Linked DNA regions of Arabidopsis thaliana. The protein of the gene in region 1 purifies or fractionates together with the protein of each later gene. This does not show direct contact. Each region holds a gene or a part of one and is shown on either strand. Other genes may lie near its edges.

The links.
Region 2: the proteins of alpha-ADR (region 1) and CLC2 purify together in Arabidopsis thaliana (affinity purification with western blotting, with the first as the bait; one study listed by BioGRID). This does not show direct contact.
Region 3: the proteins of alpha-ADR (region 1) and AT5G46630 purify together in Arabidopsis thaliana (affinity purification with mass spectrometry; 4 studies listed by BioGRID, with this or other methods). This does not show direct contact.

Annotation. Positions count from the first base shown.
Region 1 is NC_003076.8:7,583,884-7,591,670, forward strand, and holds the start of alpha-ADR (alpha-adaptin), read right to left. Parts: upstream 4,440-7,787; 5' UTR 4,144-4,439; coding exon 4,018-4,143; intron 3,276-4,017; coding exon 3,144-3,275; intron 2,793-3,143; coding exon 2,667-2,792; intron 2,454-2,666; coding exon 2,391-2,453; intron 2,309-2,390; coding exon 2,211-2,308; intron 2,131-2,210; coding exon 1,923-2,130; intron 1,725-1,922; coding exon 1,653-1,724; intron 1,573-1,652; coding exon 1,480-1,572; intron 1,092-1,479; coding exon 990-1,091; intron 891-989; coding exon 793-890; intron 247-792; coding exon 165-246; intron 32-164; coding exon 1-31. Other genes in the region: AT5G22785 (uncharacterized protein), read left to right, coding at 5,760-5,822, 5,833-5,961; AT5G22780 (Adaptor protein complex AP-2, alpha subunit), read right to left, coding at 6,217-6,373, 6,460-6,539, 6,655-6,726, 6,813-6,893, 7,113-7,238, 7,326-7,412, 7,517-7,681, 7,785-7,787. UniProt on the Arabidopsis thaliana protein: Subunit of the adaptor protein complex 2 (AP-2). Adaptor protein complexes function in protein transport via transport vesicles in different membrane traffic pathways.
Region 2 is NC_003071.7:16,723,572-16,730,617, reverse strand, and holds CLC2 (Clathrin light chain protein), read right to left. Parts: upstream 4,195-7,046; 5' UTR 4,055-4,194; coding exon 3,768-4,054; intron 3,420-3,767; coding exon 3,266-3,419; intron 2,953-3,265; coding exon 2,617-2,952; 3' UTR 2,411-2,616; downstream 1-2,410. Other genes in the region: AT2G40070 (flocculation FLO11-like protein), read left to right, coding at 339-453, 761-1,897, 1,977-2,240; AT2G40050 (Cysteine/Histidine-rich C1 domain family protein), read left to right, coding at 4,870-6,699.
Region 3 is NC_003076.8:18,917,461-18,925,855, reverse strand, and holds AT5G46630 (Clathrin adaptor complexes medium subunit family protein), read right to left. Parts: upstream 5,419-8,395; 5' UTR 5,277-5,418; coding exon 5,194-5,276; intron 5,027-5,193; coding exon 4,849-5,026; intron 4,734-4,848; coding exon 4,643-4,733; intron 4,519-4,642; coding exon 4,424-4,518; intron 4,271-4,423; coding exon 4,181-4,270; intron 4,097-4,180; coding exon 4,048-4,096; intron 3,956-4,047; coding exon 3,817-3,955; intron 3,742-3,816; coding exon 3,625-3,741; intron 3,554-3,624; coding exon 3,463-3,553; intron 3,372-3,462; coding exon 3,229-3,371; intron 3,134-3,228; coding exon 3,019-3,133; intron 2,931-3,018; coding exon 2,796-2,930; 3' UTR 2,685-2,795; coding exon of another isoform or gene 2,604-2,684; 3' UTR 2,411-2,603; downstream 1-2,410. Other genes in the region: AT5G46640 (AT hook motif DNA-binding family protein), read right to left, coding at 1-116, 200-331, 498-553, 670-1,186; AT5G46620 (uncharacterized protein), read left to right, coding at 6,728-7,003, 7,833-8,006. UniProt on the Arabidopsis thaliana protein: Subunit of the adaptor protein complex 2 (AP-2). Adaptor protein complexes function in protein transport via transport vesicles in different membrane traffic pathways.

The DNA of each region.
Region 1 (7,787 bases):
CCCGCATGGAAAACTCTGCTGTGCTAAGATACTGCAATATATTTTTAGCTTCCATGTAAGCTTAAACACTACACAACTTAATCCTTCCTTTCTGTTAAACTTCACAAATCATAAGGAGACTAAAAATCAAGAAATATTAATATAAAGTAAGGTCAAAGACTTACCTGCAGCAACTCTTCGACTATATCCTTTGCATTTGACACATCACACATCCCATATAATAAATCAAGAGCACGCCTACGAATACTGCAGGAAAGTTCAACCAATAGTGAATCTGACACCATAAGCAAAAGAACCAAGAGATGATAAATCAAACTATATGTTTGTAAAACGGAAGCCACCATTTGCAATGGAAATAAGATCAAGACATAATGGACTGTGGTACTTATCCATCTTTTACTAACAAACGTCATCGAAATAGTGCTGACCCACCGGCCAATAATATAATAATATAATATTTCTTATGTGACCGTATACCACATATAATTATACCTATAGCTTATCACAAGAAAACAAATCAACAAATAATGTTTCACTAAAAAATATAGATCCCATTTTCTTAAAATTTCATATATACTACCCAAATCAAATAATTTTAATGCTGACAGAAATAATCTTATTCACAACTACTATAGAGACAAAGTAAAAAACGGTATATTAAATCATAAGAAGTAAGACCGATTTGATGATTGAAAAACTGTCGTACTGGTTCCAAATTAGAACAGTAACGAGATACTGATCCGGGTTCACAAGCCAGAAAAGCTGATGCTTAGATGGCAAATCTAAACCAACCTGATGTCAGGGTCTTTCAAGGAGGTGATTATCTGAGACTGATGCTTCTTTATGATATCTTGAACATCTGTGACCATCAGCATCCGCGTCATATTTTCCTGTAATTTTGTCAAAAAATGCATCATGAGAAACCACCAACCACTTCACAAACTACTCCAGCTAGGCTTAGATGCAGGAAGTGGTATGCAAGATCTCACCAAGCCTAGATATCTGATGTTGGGCTCACGGACAGAAATAAACTTGCCAAGAAGAGCAACACACTGTGACATCATTTCCTTCTCAGCATCAAGATGCATGACCTATATCAAAACACATTAAAAAGTTAGGAGGTTGCACACTAAGCCAGAGAACTGTTAGGAACAATTAAGTCAACTATCCATGATAAACCTCTTAGAAATAGTGGCGAAACCTTCAAGCAGAGCATCTAAATTTATTTTACTTTCACACAAGAAAAACAACAGACAAAGAATATCGTACAATTAGCTGCAAGCAATTCAAACACTTGAAGTTTCTCTAGCAAAGCCAAAAAATATATTTTAAACGTCCATGCACACATCAGTAGTCTGCTTTGAGTAAATGCGTCTTTACAGGACGTTGAGCAGGGGTGAAGGGGAAGAGAGAGAAAAATAGGTGCCCACTAGTAAAATTCATGGTATCAACATTTCCCCAGCTATCCGACGAACTTACCAGGGATAGAGCTTCAAACAGCACAGCATGAGACGCATTGTTTTTATTCACATTTTTCACAACATCTGTCCCCATCAATATTCGCTGAAGGACCTGAAATTTCCATGAAATGCCATGCCATGAGAGGAAATTCAAAGACATATATTACAGATTTACACATGAAAATATTGAACCTCAAACAGAGCTTTTCTGGTACTGGGATCTTCAATGGTCGGGAAATATTGAAGAGCCCTCATTGCCTTAACCTGTACTAACCAAAGATATATAAGTATCCACGATATCTTTAACTGAGTAACAAAAATACACCAAAGCTGGGCCAAGCCTCTATTTTCATAAGCTAATTTCACATAAAATGTTTAAAATGCACAGGATTTGTGAAAAGGATGCGATTAAAGAATATTTAAGCTATTAAACAAGAGTGAATAAGCCGAGTTAAGTCAAACCTGGAGCCAAGGAGATGGGATGCCATAGTATGTGTACTCCTGAGGAACATCTTGGTTCCTAGCAAGGCGTTCTAATATTTTGACACATTTAGGTAGACAACTTGAGTACGCCTCATGATTATTAGATACCAGAGCTACAAGAAGACTCGTAGAAGACGTCAAGACACCAAGATCTCGTTCATCCAAAAGTTGTGCCATACGATCCGCCCTGGAAGTATACGACAAAGAGAATATGAAAGATGCACTAGTAAAATCAAAGAACCAGTAACCCCACAGTGTTATACACACCAGCCATCCACGTTGACAGCATCAGGATTTTTTCGGAATAAGCGCAGTAGGCACAGTGCTGCTTTTTTCCTTACAAGAGGTCTGCAACTACTAGAAATCTGCAGCAAAGAGACCCCATAACATAATATGTTTAGTAATATTGGAAAAAAATATAACCTCTCATCTTTAGGAGTCACTTACAAGTAGCTTTTGAACATCAGGTGCCAATGATTCAGCAAAATCCCTTCCACCGATATTTCCAACCTACAGGAGAACGTAAGCATGGCAAGGTAAGAAAGCTAGAAAGAAAGGACCAGTTTCATGAAGTAAGTGGCTCTGAATCGTGAAATGATAGAGCACAAAAGACATAATGTACCAAAGACTTCCATTAAAACAGTCATTTAACAACATCTTATAATCAGAAGAACCTAACTATGCTCTAAAATCTCAATACAGGGTGGACAAAAGACCACATACCAAGGTCAGTGCTAGGCACTGGAAAGTCTCATTCCGACCAATAATATCGTTCCGCACTGTATTTATTGCCAACTTCAAAAAGTCATGGTTCTCATTGAGCAAGCAAGATGTAACAATGTAGCCAACCTGTAATCATGGATGAAAAGTTCAATACCTGCAAATTAGTTAAGGAGCATGAAACAATATAAATTGGAAATACAAACCCTTGAGATACAATGCATGGTTCTGGTTAAGAGTTTCTAAGATGTTACTAAGTAACTCGTGCTTATAAGTAATTGTCTGCAATACTTTCCCAGGTCAAGTCAAGTTGCAAACGCATGAAATGGTATCTAGATCTAACTGTGTGATCTTCAATGAAACTTTCTTTGTTTCAGCTTGATCAATAGAATATATTTCAGCAAACACCTCCATCTATTATCTTCTCCTAGCCTTACAAAGAAAAATTTCTTTGTTTGAGCAAACAAAACGTTGGTTTACCTGCTTTTCTGGATACTTTGGCGCAGATATAAGAGAAACCGCCTCCATATGGCCAAAATCCACATCGTAGCCTAGCATATGTATATAAAGCATTTTCCAGACATATTTCTTCTTTTTATATGGTGTCAAAACCTGCAAAAATAAAACAGAATGTCAAGTAATCAAAGAGTTCTTGATTAATTCATTTCTAACATGAACCCCGAAAAAGAATAAGTTTAATGTTGGTCCAACTGGAAACACATGGATCCACTACAGGCCTGCTACAGCTCTGCTACGTGTAAGATGGAACAAGAATTTCACTCCAGAAGTTCTTACAGCAACAAAGCTTAATCTACTTCGTAATGAGCTATTCAAAATTTTCCGTGACCATGATTTAATTTCTTAGACCATCACTACATAACCGAATTTACTGCCAGACCATTCTTTTCTTCTAGTTCCTAAATGTCATCATATATTCAGTAATGAAATTCCAAGTTGAAAGCAATAGTAGTGATGTTTCAAAAGGTAGAATAATTGCTAATCTACAAGGATTTGAGCTAGCTATACAACGGCAACATTATACTGCCTATCTATTTTCACAATTGGTGTTAAATCAAAATTTATTGCCTCAATCCGATAAAGTAAGAAACTACAAGCTCCAAAACTATCCACTCGGCATGTGACCAGTGACTGTATCTTTGTTTCATCTACATTCTTATCTAACTCCCTAATCAACCTAATAGCTCTAACATTCGATTGCATTGGCATTGCAACTGCGAAGGATAAATCTCCAATATCTCTAATAAACCAAAACCTCAGCGGATACTCGACACTGAATTACCTCTCTAATGAGAATCAAAACATAGAAAATAGAATGGAGAGAATTGAGAGTAACCTTCTCATTCTTGAAGCATGTACGAATGTTTCCGAGCTCCTTATCAACTCGTAGTCTCTCCGCTTCCTTGTTCTGGCAATTACGAACGTCGCTGATAAATACGGAGAGACCTCTCATTCCGGTCATGGTTGAACCAAATCCTCAAATCCACCGTGCTCCGCCGCCTCACACGGCGCAGATCCAAACTCGCGGCACCGGATCTAACTACGAGATAAACCACAGACTAAAGCTGAAGCATAAGCAATTCGAGAGAGGTGAGATCGAAATCCCAATCTAGAAACGGAAAATGGCACCTTCAATCGAAGAAATTCAAAAGGAGAGACTGATCTTTGGAGAAGAGAGACACGCCTGCGGGAGAGAGACGAGAGACGACTTTTATTTTTCTTTATTTACAACTTTGACTATTCAATTTTGTGTAATTCAGTTTTTGTCTGTTTTGAAATTGGAATCCGAAATTGACCCGTCGAAAAACAGAATTAACGCGTCTAGACATTTGGACTAAATTTGAGGATTTATAAGTTTGCGTAATATTTTGTTAAAAAGTGTATCCTTCTGCCTTTTTGGGTAATATTTATTTACTGCTGTTTCTGGTTTCACTTTTTCATTTATTTTTAAAATGACTGTTTTCTGTCGCGGTCAATGCATTCAGTTGTAATTCAATGTACCATGAGAAAATCCTTAACAAAAAAAATGTACCATGAGAAAATCCGGTTATGAATTCGGGTCAGGTCAGGTCATGCAATGGTTTAGCTGGTCCCAACTTTTTTTTTTTTTTTTTCGTCAGACATGGTATTTGTTGGTATTAGTGGGAACGAAACAAATGGTTTATACGCAGTGCTGATTTGATTATTTTTTGTTATGAGCATTTTATAATTTTACTCAATGTATTATGAAATCTTTTGAATAAAGATTTTAGATACTCTATATTTCAGATAACAATTTTGCTAGAATCATTGCAACCAAATTACTCTGGTGAATAGGAAAGTATTGTCACTACTCTCGTTTTTGAAATACTAAATGTGTCTCATAACAAGATCATAATCTACAAGACGATGAATAGGACGAATTGTTGAGCTAGAAAAGCAGTGACGGCGATAGCGTATGCTCCTAGGATGTTGTTGTTTGGCAGTTTGAGTATCGAACTCGTAAACTTATATAACTAATGGAAGCACCAACCATTAAACTACAAGGCTTTTATATGATTGTGATGATAAAGCATCAGCTTGCTGGGCTTTAGATTTGGGTCGGCCCTGCTTATTGAACATTTTTAGTTTTATGGAAGATATTGTCCCTTTGCGTTAGCAACATCGGCTGATTTCTTAGGTATTTCGAACAGCTCCAATATCTCGGTTGAGTTTTTCTTCAAGGCATGACAAATTTTAGGGTATTCGATACTTTAAGAGAAGTTGCTTCTTCAACTTGAGCGACATTGATGTTGGTGAAGCAAACTTGCAAAAGTCAGACTTACTCAAATTTTGCTTAATCACTCTTGTTTCACAAGCCCCGGATCTAGGGTTCTTATATTTTTTTTTATTTGCAAAATTACAAATGATATAGTAATATAAAAAAATCATACTTTTGTCAATTACAAATTATGTAGTAAAAACAAAAAAAAATCATGCAAAAATTGATAAAACAGCTTTTAAATCCATAAGCAGTTTGTAAGAAAATTAAAAATAGTAAAAAAAAAATTTTCTTTCAATTATATTCTTCAAAGTAATAGTAAAAATCTGGTTGTATATATGTCGGTTGAATGTCCCACCAAGGCCAAGTCCCCACTCTATTCACACCTCAAATTAGATCAGGTTTTTACAGGTGAAATGCTATGCGTTGGATGTGTTTTTGCAATTTCCCCCCTTTATGACAACATTAAAATCTCTCAATGTGAAGGCTGGTGCGAAAAAACAGACCTCCCATCAGAAAACTCATGGAGAAACAGATTGAAAATATATAGGCACAAGAACAAGCTGATACAACCACTGACCTCACAATACAAATGTTCAGAATGAATGCAAAATTTCTTACCTAACGCAACCCGCCCGCTTTGGATAAACGGCACAAATATAATCAAAACTAGCTTTTTTCTCTCCCTTGGCTCTACATTTACTCTCCCATCATTCCATATTTTCGCCATTACATTCTACAATAACAGAAAACAAACTTTTCGACATGTGCAAGTAATCTTTTATCCCAATGAATTTAAAGTAAGCCAGCAAGCATAGCTCCTGGATCATCAGCTAAAGCCGCTGGGCTAGGCGGTTGAACTGCTGGTGATGGTGCTGGACCTGCTGCTGGAACTAGAGCTCGAGATCCCATTGGAATAGTAATTAATTGTTCCTTGATGAATTCTTTTAACCTGTAGATAAAAGGGGTCAACAATTGCAAATGAAGAAAATCTGTGATCGAGGTTGGGTTTGTGATTAAGAGGCAGATATATCATACTCAAATGTAAGGGTAGGATCTCCCGAGCCTACTGTCAATCGTAGTTGGGTTCTGTCCGCTGGGTCTGTTTCAATTCTTGCCTGAAAATCGCAAACCAAGGAAAATGTCACACGTCATTACTATAAGTCTTAAGAAATTTTAGAAATTGGAGTGGCAAGTGCCAAAACCAGGAAGTGAAACTTGGTGAAATCTCACCAAACAGAGCATGGCTCCTGTAGTTTCAGAGTAGAAGGTTGTGCTTGCCACTAGATTATTAGGGTTTGGATCCTACGACAAAAAACAATACAAGTTAAGTTTGAAGTATACATGTGTGCATGAGGAATGAAGGTTTGAGATCGTAAACAACTACTTACAAGCCCAGGGCATATCGTCACATGAAAACTGTTGAACAGATTTGCCATTTCCGGAAGAGCTAGAGGTCTTACACCTCTTACCTGAAAGAGATTGCAGTATCAGATTATATAACGCATAAAAGTAATGCTGCATTAACGAGCATGTGTAGAAGTGTTGGAAGTTCTCTATAAGTGTTGTAGCGAAAGCTAATTCACTAATTTCATTGAAAAGAAAATTCTTAGAAGCCTTTGACTACTATCCTGCGCTACTCAAATACTTTTAGTTTGATATTTGATCAGAGAAGCTGTGGAGATACATACCACTTCCTGAAGTTTCAAGGGTGGCCCTGAGATTGCTCTCCATTGAGGGAAGAACTCTTCAGATGTCAATTGTAGAGGTTGAAGAAACTTATTCAAGGTTGCCGGGATGCGTAATTTGGCACTGACCTATAAAAGATCCAGCATATCAGGTAGAGTCACAGATACTAAATATACCATTCACCAAAACAAGCTAAGTACTGTTGCAGTACGTACCACGTTTGTACCAAACTTGTAGGAGAAATCCAAAACTGCAACATCCCTACTAGGGCGGATGTTCATCACTTCAAGCGGAGATTGTACCTATAACCATGAAAAAAATTGCAACACTTAGTACATTATGCATAAATGAGTAGAAAATGACGGATTGAGTAGTCAAACTTAAATAAATCAACAAACAAAAGTACCTGTGCTCGAGGAGGAATTGTATCAGGTACTGGAGACAGATCCAGTCTTAAGTGGGCAGGGGGTAGTATCAGAGCTTGAACTGATGTAAGTGGAGAAGTATTCTTGTTTCCCATGAAGAGAACAAGTCTCCCATGGTGTCCTCTCCATTCAGCTTTGATGCCAATCTGAGGAATACAAACAATCAACAAAATGGGAACATAAGAAAGCTCGGAGGCTTGTCTGCTGCATACTTGAATAAATAAAAGCAGAAACTAGAAAAAAACAAACCTG
Region 2 (7,046 bases), on another chromosome or scaffold:
ACTGATTTGCTGTATCTTAACCATGAGGTTCTGAAGTAATATATGTGTGGTAGTTTTGTTTCCTTGAAATTGTGTTGTTTCTTCACATTACATCATTCTGTATAAGGCATGTGTTTAATCTAATAGACTCGAATTTGGTGTCACAATTTGGAACCCTTTGTTTGTGAGGTGTGCGAGTCTTGCACTGAATTCTTATCAAGTTTAGAATTTTGCTGCATAAGGTGTTCATCATTCCAGCATCTCTGTTTACCTCTTCTTAGACATTCATATACTTTCTTGAACAATATATCATTTATCTGTTTATCATTTCCACCCTAACTTCTTCTTGTCTTTCGAAGGCTTCTGACCCCTCCAGGTACGCCTCTATTTCCATCGCTGGAGATGGAATCACATAGGACTATGATGAGTCAGACTGGTGATTCAAAGAGTCGCCCGGCTACATTGACTTCCAGAGTAAGAATGTTATTGCTTAGTGTTCTGACCTCTTTTATCAACTCCTGGAATGGATACTAGATAAACAACCTAATGTAGTGCAACCAGTATTAAAATAAAGCTCTGCTGTTATTGTTTATATGTTTTGAATCGCCACTACTAGTTTAACCTGCCGCATCAGTCTGTGACGTTTACATTTCAAGTTTCATGATTTACACTAGTAAATCGCATTTATCGTTATTGCTATGTGGGATGTTGCTCTGGATTTTTTTTAGAGTAGCACATTTTCACTACTTCGTTATGGTAACCTATGAATTATCTGTCGTAGCTGGCAAATTCCTCAACAGAGTCTGCTGCAAGGAACCATCTAACATCTAGACAACAAACTTCTTCTCCTGGATTGAGCTCTTCCAGTGGAGCAAGTCGAAGACCTTCATCATCTGGAGGACCTGGATCAAGACCTGCCACACCCACTGGAAGATCATCAACACTGACGGCAAATTCAAAATCCTCAAGGCCTTCAACACCCACTTCGCGAGCCACTGTCTCCTCAGCTACTCGACCTTCTTTGACTAACTCGAGGTCCACAGTATCTGCAACGACTAAGCCCACGCCTATGAGTAGGTCAACAAGTTTATCATCATCTAGGCTCACACCTACTGCATCTAAGCCGACTACCTCAACTGCTAGATCTGCTGGTTCAGTAACTAGATCTACCCCTAGCACCACCACAAAATCTGCAGGTCCTTCAAGGTCCACCACACCTCTGTCAAGATCTACTGCCAGATCTTCAACACCAACTTCAAGACCCACACTTCCTCCATCTAAAACCATATCAAGGTCATCTACACCAACTCGCCGTCCAATTGCTTCTGCAAGTGCTGCAACTACTACAGCAAATCCCACAATATCCCAAATCAAGCCTTCTTCTCCAGCGCCAGCAAAGCCTATGCCAACACCATCTAAGAACCCTGCTTTATCTCGTGCAGCATCTCCTACAGTGAGGTCAAGACCATGGAAGCCGTCAGACATGCCTGGTTTCTCATTAGAAACTCCTCCAAATCTAAGGACAACATTACCCGAAAGGCCACTTTCAGCGACAAGAGGCAGACCTGGAGCTCCAAGCTCTCGTTCTGGTTCAGTTGAGCCAGGGGGCCCTCCAGGAGGAAGACCAAGAAGGCAATCATGTTCACCATCAAGAGGAAGAGCACCAATGTACTCTAGTGGTAGCTCTGTTCCTGCGGTTAATCGTGGATATTCCAAAGCCAGTGACAATGTTAGTCCGGTGATGATGGGAACAAAAATGGTGGAGAGAGTAATAAACATGCGGAAACTTGCTCCACCCAGATCAGATGACAAGGGTTCTCCTCATGGTAACTTGTCTGCAAAGTCTTCATCACCCGACAGTGCAGGATTTGGAAGAACGCTCTCCAAGAAGTCCCTTGATATGGCAATAAGGCATATGGTATGTATCTCTCTCTTCTCTCTTCCTCAAGTGGTGGCAATTGCGTTTAACTGATGATCAAACGTTTTGATGAAAACAGGATATACGTAGAACTATTCCAGGGAACCTGAGACCACTAATGACGAATATTCCAGCATCATCAATGTACAGTGTGAGGTCTGGACATACACGTGGTAGACCGATGAATGTTTCAGACTCTTCTCCACTAGCAACAAGCAGCAACGCAAGCTCAGAGATCAGTGTCTGCAACAACAATGGCATTTGCTTAGAGGCAAGTGAAAAGGAAGACGACGCAGGCAGCGAGAGAGGTTGCAGGTCCCCTGCAAGCTTACAAGGGAGATGAAGGAAGAAAGAAGAAAAGCCTTTTGTAAAACGTTCACATTTGAGATTCTCTTTTATTGTTTGTGAGTTTTAATTATCACACGAGTTTGATAATGATGATATGTGAAGTAGCGTTTTGATGTTTTATGTAAACCTCTCCACTCTCGTCTCTACTTTAACCCTAAAATGGATGGATCCTTTAACCGATTGATTTGAGATATTAACCACTATTCAATGGTAACTGACTAAAACATAAAAAGTTATCATTCCAATATGACATAATTATGTTAATAACACACATGAACCATAAAATCTCTCAGCTGTTTATAACACATAATGAAATGCAAAGACTGAATTCACACAGATGTAAGCAACGAATAAGAAAACAAAGGAGGTTTTTAAGCAGCAGTAACTGCCTCAGTGGGCTTGGTTTCGGGAACATTCTTTGGAGGAGCAGCCGCCTCCTCCGATGGAGGTTGAGAAGTGAGTTTCAGGTGAGAAGGTGGGTTGTGTTTGAGCTTCACCAATATTTGTCTCATTCTTGTTAGATCGGTTGGCTTACCGGGCTTTGGACCTTGAATCACAGAGACTGTTGGCTTCTTAGGATCTTGTTGCTCTTTTTTTCCTCTCCTTTTCTCTATTGTTGGAACTTCTTTAGGAACTAGCTCTGCTATTGCCTTCCAGTAATTCTTGCTGGATTCCGCGTAGAACTTCTCTTGGTTCTCCAGATACAGCTTAAGTGTTCAAAGACAAATAAACACATAAGTGAAAGTTTAATCAACACTGTAACAATGCAATATGCAGATAAAAAGGTATCAAAGATCACACACGTAATGAAGATAATCAATGTATTAAGATAATCTCAAAACTGACAATGCATTAAGATAATCAATCACAGTTGACTTAAGACTAAGATGGTCAAAGTTTGAAAATTTTAATATCAACAAGCCATTGACTTGCATTGACAATTCTCCACAAACCACATGACAACAACACAGATTGAGAAAAGATGATAAAAAATTCAAATCTTTTAGCAAAAGAACAAACCTTTTCCTTCTCTCTGTTAGCTGCTTTGTTGTTTTCACAAGTTACTTCAATCTTCTTATGAAACTCTTCTTTGTATTGATCAGCTTCCTCAATAATTTGCTTCAACAATTCCTTTTCTCTCTTCTCCTTCTCCTCAAGTTGAATTGCATTTTGTCTACACATAAACATAATAAAGCCATAGCACGAAATCAGATCTATACATCTTAATCAACTCAACAAGCATTACAAGCTTACGGATCAAGATGTTATTCTAGAACACACGATTTGAGCAATAAACTCTAAGCAAAAGTAACAGATCCAATCTAATAAACTGATTACTTCTGAGAACAATGGACACTAACTAGCAGATAACTTCAATTCACAAAAATTGTGAATCAAAATTCAAAATTGAAATTCTCAGATTATCAAAGAGATTCTCAACTAAATTTATCCACTTTATCGATTTTCTTCAGGAAGAAGTAAACAAAAAGCAACAAAGATCAAAACTTTGAGTAGATCTAACCTTCTCCATTCTCTAAGAGCAAATCCCTCATCTGATTCCATCTCCGACGGTGGTGGCAAGATAGGACCGTCGTGATCCCCGTTGGATCCGAAGATGCCGTCACCGTTGGAGTAAGCACCGTAGTCAGAAGACGGCGCTGCAAAAACATCGTCGACGGAGTCCTCGACTTGGAGTGAGCCGTCGAAAGCTGAGAAAGAATCAGTGGCGTCAAAAGAGCCTGAGACTGGAACAGACTCAGACGCATCATCGTTGAGTATGACGAAGGAATCGTCTTCAAAGGCAGACATCTCTCGAACACACAAAAAAAAAAAAAAAGGCAGAACGAAGAACTCGCGAATCTTGTCTTTTCAAGTGTTCTCAAGCTTATGGCAAAAATTAATAACGGAGATTTGTGACTATTTTTATTTCCATTTTTCTTAATGGGCTTTTTTCGAGCCCAAATACTTCCAATTCATCATGAGTATTCCGGTTTAGTTATGGTTTAGGTTCCAACCGATCCATTAGATTACAATTAATGTTCCATACGTGTTCTTCTTATCTTAATCAAAACGTTTTGCAATTTAGTGTGGGTTCGGTTGTTCTACTTTCTAATTCAACCGGATCATTGAAACTACGTGTTCTTCTTTTCTTGTTTAAAACGTTTTGCAATTTGGTTTTGGTACGATTGTTTCATTTTCCATTTCAAACCTTCATTTTTTTTTTTTTTTTGAATAAACCTTCATTTTCTTTTTGTGTGTTTCGTGATTGAGTTCACAAAGTCTCAAATTATACACTACTAATGAATTGGCACAATCATTGAGCACGATTAATATAGAGTCTTGAAGTCATGGAACATCAGAAATGAACAAAACTATGTGCAAAGAAAAGTTGATTCTTTATTTGCATGTAAAGAAGAACATTATCATCACAACTACTGAGAAAAGGAACAAAATCAACCATATGTTTTCACGTTTAAGTATATTAATAATCAAGAGTAGAAGAAAACTTTTGGAATCAAATTTTCGTATTTATAGAGGAAAAATGTTAACAACTTGATATCTTGTATGACAAATATTTTTTTATAAAAGCCTAAAACAAAAATAAACAAAGACTTAACACATTCATGGATTCTAGCGTCGGAGGATTTTATGAGGTGGAAAAGGATGGTAACCTTGTTTTGGTATACCATCATCCGAAATATTGCCCCATACCCCAAACACAGACCGTAACCTCCTCCAGTGACCTTCAACCTCTTTTCTTATGCCCTCGATCACGACGTCGAAAAATCAAGTCGTATTCAGACACTTATCCGCTTAATTCTTCCCCCGAGTACGTCCTTTCTACAACGACGACCTCTCATGATCATCATGTACTCCCTTTGTTTTGGTGCAACAATAAAGAATTTGATGCTGATGGTGGATGCTACATATGCGAAGGCTCAAATTCCGGCACCGACTATTATTTCTGCAACTATTGTAGCATAAAATTACACAAAGAATGCATTCAATCTCCACTTATAATCAAACATCCTTACCACCCTGAGCACTATCTCCAACTTTTCTTTCATGATGATAACTTTCGTAAGATTGAGTGTTTATGTTGTGGAAGAAAAGCACATTGGTTGATTTATCATTGCACCACATGCCAGGCTTTTATGCATCCCATATGTGCGATGAAGCCAATACCTTTTCTTATAGACCCACCAAAAAAGCATATCCATCCTCTCACTTTTTTCCCCAGACAAACTTCCTTGACTTGTAATGTTTGTGGTTTGTTGAGAAAAATTTATCCCACCTACGTTTGTTTCAGATGTAACTTTGTAACTCATAATGACTGTATGAATTCCCCACACATCATCAAGATATCACGTCACCGTCATCGTATCTCGTTCACTTTTTCTCTTACATCTAGAGAATGGTTTTGTGGAGTTTGCCGTTTAAGTATTAACGTTGATTATGGTGCATATACTTGTGACACGTGTAGCGATTATGTTGTTCATTCAATATGCGCTCTTGGGAAAGATGTGTGGGATGGAAAAGAACTCGAAGGTATACCAGAGATAATCGATATAACAGAAAATGATGGACCGTTCGAGGTGATATCTGAAGGAGTGATACTTTATTTTCATCATAATCATCATCTCCGACTCGAGGTCAGCAACGTTTATGATGAAAACATGCTTTGTCAAGCGTGTGCCATTCCTATCTATGAAGGTAACTTATATGTTTGTATGGAGTGTGATTTCATCCTCCATGAAACATGTGCTAAGGCTCCCCGTAGAATCCAACATGCCTTACATCCTCACCCACTTGTATTGGAGGTTATCAATAGCTTTACTTACAATACCTTCCGTTGCAACGCTTGTGATCGTGGTTCTATTGGCTTTGCCTATCACTGTAGGATGGAGGTATGCAACTTTTTCAAGCTTGATGTAAGGTGCGCTTTAATTTCTGAGCCGTTTGATTACAAAGGTCATGAAGATCCCTTGTTCCTAGCTTTAAACCCAGAAATAAAACCCATATGTCATATATGCAAAACAGAATGTTTAAAACAATTAAATTGCATCAAATGCAATTTCATTGTATGTTTTAAGTGTGTTACCTTACCATACAAAATAAAATATAAGCATGACACACACTTCCTCACAATTTCATTTGGTGAAGAAGTACGTGAGCAAGAATGGTGTGAAATATGTGAACGTAGTTTAAAGGATACATGCACAAAAGTATTCTACTGGTGCAACGAGTGTTGCACCACTTTTCATATTGAATGCTTAATTGGTGGAGACCCATATATCAAGCCCGGTCAATATTTCAATAAATGGGTATGCAGGGTTCAAGTTCTTCCCAAATGTAATATTTCTCGACCATTATGTGGTTCTTGCAAGAACCGTTGTATAGGGAAAATATATGATGTAGGCTACCGTGTTGAATGTTCATATGAATGTATTTAAACAATGTATCCATGCATCTGAATAAAATGTAATTTCTCTATTATTGATTTCAATTTCATAAAACTAAACTGATTTCTCAATTCGTGCAATTACACAAGAGCTCTTTGAATTAGATGATTTTCTGCCGGAGGAGCTGCATCGGTCAACACAAGATATAATTTCTAACCATGTGCTTATGCGATTAGAAAGGCAATCATTTTCGTCTCTCGAAGGTTTCAAACAAGAAGCAAATGAGATGGCAAATGCATTGCTCGATAAATAGTCAATGTCAAAACATCACTACAATGCCGCTAGACTTTATAACTAAACCGGTCACTGAAACCCTAAACCTGATTTTAGGACAAACG
Region 3 (8,395 bases), about 11 Mb from region 1:
ACGATGCCGCCATCAGGTCCAGCCAAAGCCACACTCAAGTTACCACTTCTGTTGGTGGAACCATTTACCTCATAATTCAAGACTGAGCCTGAGAGAGTAATGATCTCAAATCGTCCCTGAAAAAGCACACACATACAAATCTAAACACTTAAGACAGAAATACTAAAACTAAAGACATCAAAAGAACATAATTTTAAACCTCATAAGTAACGATTCCACTAGAATGAGAAGCTTGACGAAGCATCACTCTAGAAACTGCACCACTTGCAGAGAGAATACAAATTGTTCTTGACCCTTGATCCGAAAAAGCCATCACCTTTGACGCTATGTCCTGAATATAGTAAGTAAATTTAACATAACAACATCATTTAAAACTCATTCCTCCATCAAAATTCACTAAACCAATACATTTATTTCAAACATTTCTAACTTACCAATCCTGAAACATGAAACAAAACACATTTTCAGATAACTAAGACAGAACAACAACTTTTTACCTCTCCTGTGTTCACTTCAATGACATGAGGTGTAAACCCAACTCCTGAAGTTCCTCCTACTCACACACACACACACACACATAAACAAAACAGAACAAACCCATCAAATCAAATTGCATGTAATCTAAAACAAAACGTGTTAAGATTCAAACTTTAGAGTACTTGCTTATACCTAAAGCATCAAGCTGTTTCTTACTAGAACCAGGAGGCCTTCCTCTGTTACGTTTAACAGGTGGATCAACAGAGTTTCCATTTCCACCACTATCTCCAACACCACCCTCACCGTAAGAATTAGAAGCTGCAGAGAGAAGAGGAGACGTAGGAGCTAAACCTAAAGCAATGCTACCATCAGGAGTATACTTTCTCGGCCTTCCTCGCTTCTTCTTCACTTGCAGTTGCTGATTCTGATCATCGATCCCGAATCGCATCGGTTGAGAAGAAGGTGATCCATCACCAAATCCAAGAGATTCAAGAGTCTTCTGATCCATTTGTTGTTGTTGCTGCTGATGAAACGTTTGAGATTGTTGTTGATTGCCAAAAGGAAGACGAGGGTGTTGAATCGGTTGAGATGTGGAAGTGGGAACCATTAATGGTGAAGCGGCGGCGTTAGGGTTACGGTAATGAGACATTAACATTCCCGGTGGTGGTTGAAGCTGGTTATGTGACGGTGGGATGTCTCTGGAATCCATTAGAGCAGAGAGAGAGAAGGAAGGAAGAAGAAATCAAACTCAAAGATTGTTTCTTTCGGCTTAATTCTCGTAAAGGATGAAACTTTCTGTTTTGTGAATTCCGAGAAAATAGAGAAAGCGTGTGAGCTAACAACTCTCTCTCTCTCTCTCTCGCTTCTCGCTTCTCGCACACATACAGAGAGAGTCTCGAGGAGAGACTAGTGGGAGAGATGAAGTGTGGCGGAAAATGTAAATTTAATAGGAAGAAAAAAAATGAAATCATCTTTTTATTTATAGGATTTTTAGGAGATTTTATTTGAGTTTGTTTTGTTAATTTTATCTGAATTGATTTGGTATTTACTTACGTGAGGTTTAAGCATTCGAGAAAATATTTTTGAATCTTTAGTAGATTGTAGTTGGTTTGTTTTCATTATCATCCAAATTATAGCAGAAATATTTGTGGTCATCCGTTTTTATTAAGAGTTTATAAAAATAAAAATACTTCAGTTTGGAGATGAGAAAAAAGAGTATTTGCATTGGATATATTATAAAAAATAACACAATAACTTGTGAATGATTAATAACGAATTCTGAAGTTAAAAATCCTTAAACTTCAGAATTCGTTATTGATATTTGTGGAAGGTATCCATGTCGTCGGTTGTTGCATTCTCGTCAAACATTATAGGGAACTTTGAAAAGTAACGTGATGCAAAAACAAGACACCCAGCTTGTGGATTTCAGAATACCGACGAGGTGATCCCAATCGATGGAGAAGCAGTTCAATAGAATCATGTTTGTTGTCTTAGACCATATTTGAGTTGCATGTGAGTAGCAAAGTATCCATGATATCTGGTGTCTTGTGGGCAGAGAGCCACATGACACAGTCCAAAGAACCACCATGACCACATTTGCCATAAGCGAAGTTATAGAAATTCGATCATGCATAACCAACCACGAGTGAAAGACGTACTTGGGTGTAGCTTTGATAGTCTATTACTTTTACAATTTCCCGTTTGTTTCTGAAGAATTAGTAGACTTACAAAAGATTTTAACGATCTATGTTATGTGTAAAAACCTTCGAAGTTCGAACTATTCTCAAGTAAAATTTGTTTTCATTAACATATTACACCCGATTCTACTACTAAAAAGAATCCGACTGCTTTCACAAATACTCTATCACGTTCGATTACACCAGAATTAATCTAAACTATATCTCGTACAATTTCACAAACAGAGAAAGAAAGAAAAACAGAATTCAATACCAAATTAAGACATAAGAAATCATATTAACACAGATATCTCTAATCGACAAAACAAACATAAAACAAGGTATAAAACATATTTAACTCTTTTGTTTTTGTTTTGCATAAGGAACAAAAAACTAGAAGCCATGAAACTTTTAAGTCTGATGTCACTGAACCTGAACTGTGTTTAATGTTCAGCATCTGATCTCGTAAGATCCCGCTTTCGTTATGTATCGAACCCACTCGACCGTGTTGTAACCGCTCTTCTCCCAAACCTGCCAATCGTTCCGGATAGTCAGGTCCAAAAAAGTAGTATAGCAATCAATTTTTGAAAGACCAGAGACAGATTAACCAAAACGCAAATCACATAAAAGATTTGAACGGATTTAATGACACAATGGCTTAGAGATTCTGCTACTTAGCATTGCATTTTTTGGAAGGATGGTACTTTCAAAAGCATAGATAACAATGCGTACCTTGAGAAAACGAACTCGCAGACCAGATGCTGTGAACATTGGCACCTAGAAAAGAACAAAGCTGAGACGGTTAATAATTGCTTTAAGCAAATCTGGTTCTATTTAACAGTGCCTAAAAGAGACAAAGACTGACCTGAAATTCCATTTGGATCGGTGGCCTTGTCCAAGATTTCTTCTCTCCCATTGTTGAGATCAACTCAATTTCTGCACTTAGCGTGGACTCTGTTTGCCCTGGGAATTTTCTTATCCTAAAGAGTAAAAGAGAGAAAGATGCCGAATGATTGATAAAACACCAACAAAAGAATTATAGAGATGAATATGAGGGGAAATTATATAAACTCACTTCCAAACCAAGCAATCGATTGATGGATTGTATTTAGCGCGACCAGTTGTCACTTGGAAATTGGTCTTGGCTGTTTGTTTTGGCACTGGAATTTTAACCACGACCCCAAGGGCAAACATTTTAGCACCAAACACACTTTTGACCTGAACAGACAAAACACGGGAAGGGATTGTAAGAGAGCAAAGATCAAGCCAATTTTTTTGTATCCTGTAATCCTTGAGAAAAGTTATGTACCTTGACATTTACTTCCATACGTGTACGACCAAGTTCTTTGATTGTTGGTAATACACGGAAAGGCAGATTTACACCCTCTGTTATTCGATACCTGAGACATCATAAAGTTAATACACATTTGGTACCAGAACAATTTGCAACAGTGGACATTCGAAAACTTACTTCATCAGTTCAAACTCTCCATCCGGTGGTACAAAACTAACAGTCTTCTCGGAGTTGAATCTGGTCAGGTTCACACACTGGTGAAATGTGACATCATCAAGCTCAATGGTTTTACCACTGCACAAAACGAGAGTCAGTTAGCACAAAGAAAAGTCAGTGGCTACTGATGTTCAATGTATTAACAACGTATACCTCTTAGCTGGGCGAGATTTCATTTCTGATTCCTTCTCAAGACCAATTTTATCATTCAACCCCAACTTCAAATCAGGCATTCCCGAAAGGAAACATTTCATTAAAACCTTCCCCGTCACATCACACCGAAGAACATTGCCTAACCGTTTCCATAAAATGCAAAACCAGTCATACACAGCAAATCAACAAGAAAGACAACTTCAAAAAACTTCATAAAAGGCAATTATTTACCTTTAGAGGACATCAGAAGGTTTACACTTTCCACAATATCCAGAAACACCTGCGTTTGAGAGAATGCAAAATATCATCACTACCGCACAACCTAGCCGATCTACATACACACAGAAAGAAACTCAACACTCACCTCATTCTTTTTGTAAGCAAGGCCCTCTCTTCTCCAACCAACAGCACCTGTAACTTGTAATGTTGCATTTGGAACAGGTTTGTCTTTTGGCTGTAATGAAAAGAAGCTTATGAATGCAAACATATCTAGTGAAGAAGCAACATAATCTCTATTTATTGCGGGAAATACTGCTTAACTTCGAAGAACCACACACCAACACAATTACAAAATCTGTTGTATACACAAACAAATAGATGCCTTTACCTTCGATGAAAATGGTGACCGTACACCTTCCTGAGTGATATAAAGTTTTAAAATTTCAGGTGAGAGATTTTGTGGATAGCCAAAGTCCATAATCTCTGCAATTCAATACAAAATATCATTCATTGGTGTTACCACAAAATAGAATAACATATAACGACTAATGCAACTTTACAAGTGATAAGAAAGTGATTTGATCATGACCCTATCAGGCTTACTTACCATCCAACAATTCATAAATCAGAACAAAGTTATTTCTAATAGCGTCTTCATCAAAAGCTCCACCAAAGTATGATTTGAACAAAGCTACAGCCTGAAAATGTGAATCAAAAGCAGTATGTGTATAGAATCAATCTGACTCTCTTGAAATTTGAACAAGAATCAAAACAATTGTGGAATATTAAAATGAAACACAAAAACAAGTTTACCTCAACAACAAATTTGAATCCACAAGCAACATTAGCATTGCTACTGACAACAATGACGATGTAGACATTGCTGATTCGCATATAAACAAAGGAGCAGCCACCAATCTGACGCACAGGACAATTCCCTAACTCTTTCGTCTGCATTATATGCGTACGAAATGCATCCACCATGTTTCCCCTAAGTATCAAAATCAAATCAAAATTTTAAAATCTCAAATCTCACAGCTAAAATCCTACAAAGTACGACTACTTAGAAGCGATAAGAACAAAACATGGAGCTGAAAATGAAGCCGAATTCAAAAAATTAAAGAGATCGACGGTGAAGAAAAGGAGAAGCTCTCTTACCCGACGTCATCTCGGTAGGTGCGATTTATGAGTACATCGCCACGGAGATTCAGAAAATAGATGGCGGAAGCAGCCACCGGCATCTTCGATCTGAGATTCGAAACGCAGATCGGATAATTAGACGATCTGGTTACAGGAGATTTGAGATTTGAGGTTCGACGAGATCTCGACGACGGAGCAAAGGAAGAAGACGACGACGAAGAAGTTGAACAACTGAAATGCGATATTTTTTTAATTTCTTTTTTATCAAAAAATAGAAACAAAATTGAATTCAGTCGTCATTTTGGAATGGGCCGGTCTTATTCGATTCTGGGCCTGTGCGTCTCAATTATGGGCCTGTAGTACATTATATCCTTCATCATTTTTAATTGTTGTTTACATATGAAGAATGGTTAGGTAACAAACAATGTATAGAAGTTCTTAATTTTCAATTATTAACACTAGGTGATCACCTGCGCTACGCCGCGGTATTTTCGGATTTTTTTCGTATTGTTTAATTTAAATATAATTTTTATTTATCTAATTATTCACTTATACAATAAACAATTCCTTTTAATTTTAAAAATATTTTTTCTAACAACATTCTCAACAATGCATCATACACATAATTCATAAATAACGTTTGTATTAAACCAACTTAAGAGAGGGTAGTTTTGGATTCTAGAAACCTAAGAATTTGATGATGGAGCTCCTTACGTATTCTTCAACCTCAATGATTTATTGTATAAATATAAATTTAAGAGAATATAATATCAATTTAAGAAAATAACTTACTCAAATCATTAAATAATCCACGACTATTATATACTCATACTTTGAGTTTGGATTACAAAAAAAAATCTTCGAGTATGAGAAAACTATTAAATGGTTTTATTGAAAAATCATGTAATATTAAAATAAATTTAGTAATACTATAATTAAATATGTAAAATTAAATAATAAATATATCATTAACTTATAAATTAGAAGTTGAAGAGCTTACATTAATTACTTAATAGACACATGGCAAATGCTAAAATGATGATGTGTCAATCATTTGGAGAGAGTTAGCCAACTTTCATATATATGATTAACACGAAACTTTTCGAATTTTTTTTGTTCAATTCTCTCTGATGTCAGTGATGTGTAAAAGTAAAACTGTAAATGATCGCAATTTTTTTTTTTGTTCACTCACGAGAGAAAAAAAAAATGTGGAATATTTATTTAGTATATTAATAGAAACCGCGCCGTTAATGATAAAAAGAAGATCTTGCTCGATCCGTCTTTGATCCAAAAAAAAATTCATCTTTCTATAATTTGTTGCAGTGCATAAGAAGATTAACACAGTGTTCACGAGAGAGAGAGATTAAAGACAGAGATTTCTGGGTTTTAACAGTAGGAAATGAATATTGTTGGATTAAGAAGCGATCGGAGAAAGTAGCAAAAATCGGGAGAGGAAAGGGATATTCGAAAACCCTAATTTTGGAAGATCATTCATTTGAGAGAAAAGCTGTTAAATTTGAGGGCTTTAGATCGAATTTGATATCTGGGGTTAATGGGTTTTTTGAAGAAGTTAACGGGTATACTTGGTTTTGGTCATAACGATGGTGGTGGTGGTCATGGAGCTGTGAGAGATGAAGATGGTGATGGTGGAGATAACAACACTGGAACTGTTTCTGGTGATGGAGATAAACGTCGGGAAGAGAATCAGACGAGATTTCGTGAAACTGGACCAAGGAAAGGTTTTGGTGTACCGGTTCAAGTTGCTGTTGAACGGTCGAATCCTGGTCCTATTCTTCAGCCTTGTGCTGCTTTAGACGGTGGTGTTCAGGTCAGTTTTCCTTTTTGACTGATGATATTGGTTAGTGAAACTCTAGGGATTGATCAAATTCATGAGAATATGTGAATTACTTGTTGCTAGCTAGATAAAGAGTTATGGTTAAGTCTTACGAAGATCTGTAATGTGGTATCACATAGTGCAGTTTCATGCTAGTTCTGTAGCTGGATTGTGTATTCATACCTTTGGTTTGGATCACACTAAGTTGGATAATAAATTGGTTTGTGAGTTTGCGAAGATTCAGTCGTCTCTGTGGCCTACATTCATTTCATGTTCTGTGCGGGTGCCTTGCTTTTTTTTCACTTTAATATGGCCTCAAGATTGGCTTCGATATGCTTGTGTTTCATAAAAAGTACTTTATATGCTTCAGTAGATGACTTTACATTCGTCATTTCTTTATGGTTTTTCCAAATTCTCTGAATGATCTTATAGATTTTGATGTCTTTGTAATTGTAGTTCATTGTCTTTTCTTACTCTCTGTTCATTCATCTTTGCTCGTAAAGTTAATGTATAGTCCTTAAGATACTGCCATGTCAGGGATATGTGGTTTAGCTTGTTGTAAGATTAGTTGCGGCAGAAGAAAGTTCCTCGAAACAAGTATTAATCATAAGCCACCCATGCTAAAATAAAGACCTTAAAGAATCTTAATTAGTTATATTGGTAGAGAAAGACGATAATAAGCAAGAAGATTTATATTGCCAAGATTATTCAGTTATCTTTCTGCGATTATGTGTATCTGGTTCATTGAGTTCTTCTTGATGGCATTGACTCAAATTAGAGTCTGAGCCGAGAATTTTACTAGCGAACCTCTTATTTGGATCAGGGACTACGTTGGTACTCGATGCGGCTTAAGATTGATGAAGACGGAGATGTTGCAGATGAGTTCTTAGAAGACCAAAACTGCAAGACTTTACCAAGAAAGTGCAAAACAAAAGCTGCAAAAGTGAGAGGTTTAGTGATATCTTCTGATGGGAAACTTCAGCCATTAATGCATTGAACAATGAAAACCAAGGAGAAAGATTTGCTGAATAGTGTGTGATTGAATCAGAGAAAGGTTAGAACTTGTGTTTCATTAATTTCGATATCAATCCATTAGATTCTTGAGAACTTATAATGTTATTTAACTGTGAATTTAGTTTCTGAAAATAGACAGTGATTCTCTTTGGGATTATCTAAACACATTTGTGCAATTGTGTATTTCTACTACTACTACCAAGTTCTCTGTTTTGCACACATATGAATCCTTTTCTTATACAAGACCTCCAATTTTCGCTCGATATGATGTTTTTAGATTCTTGTTATAAATTGAATAGCAAGGAATGATTATTAATATATGATTCATATTGCATCTGAATCTAAGCAGTTTAAAGAAGTAAATAATATTTG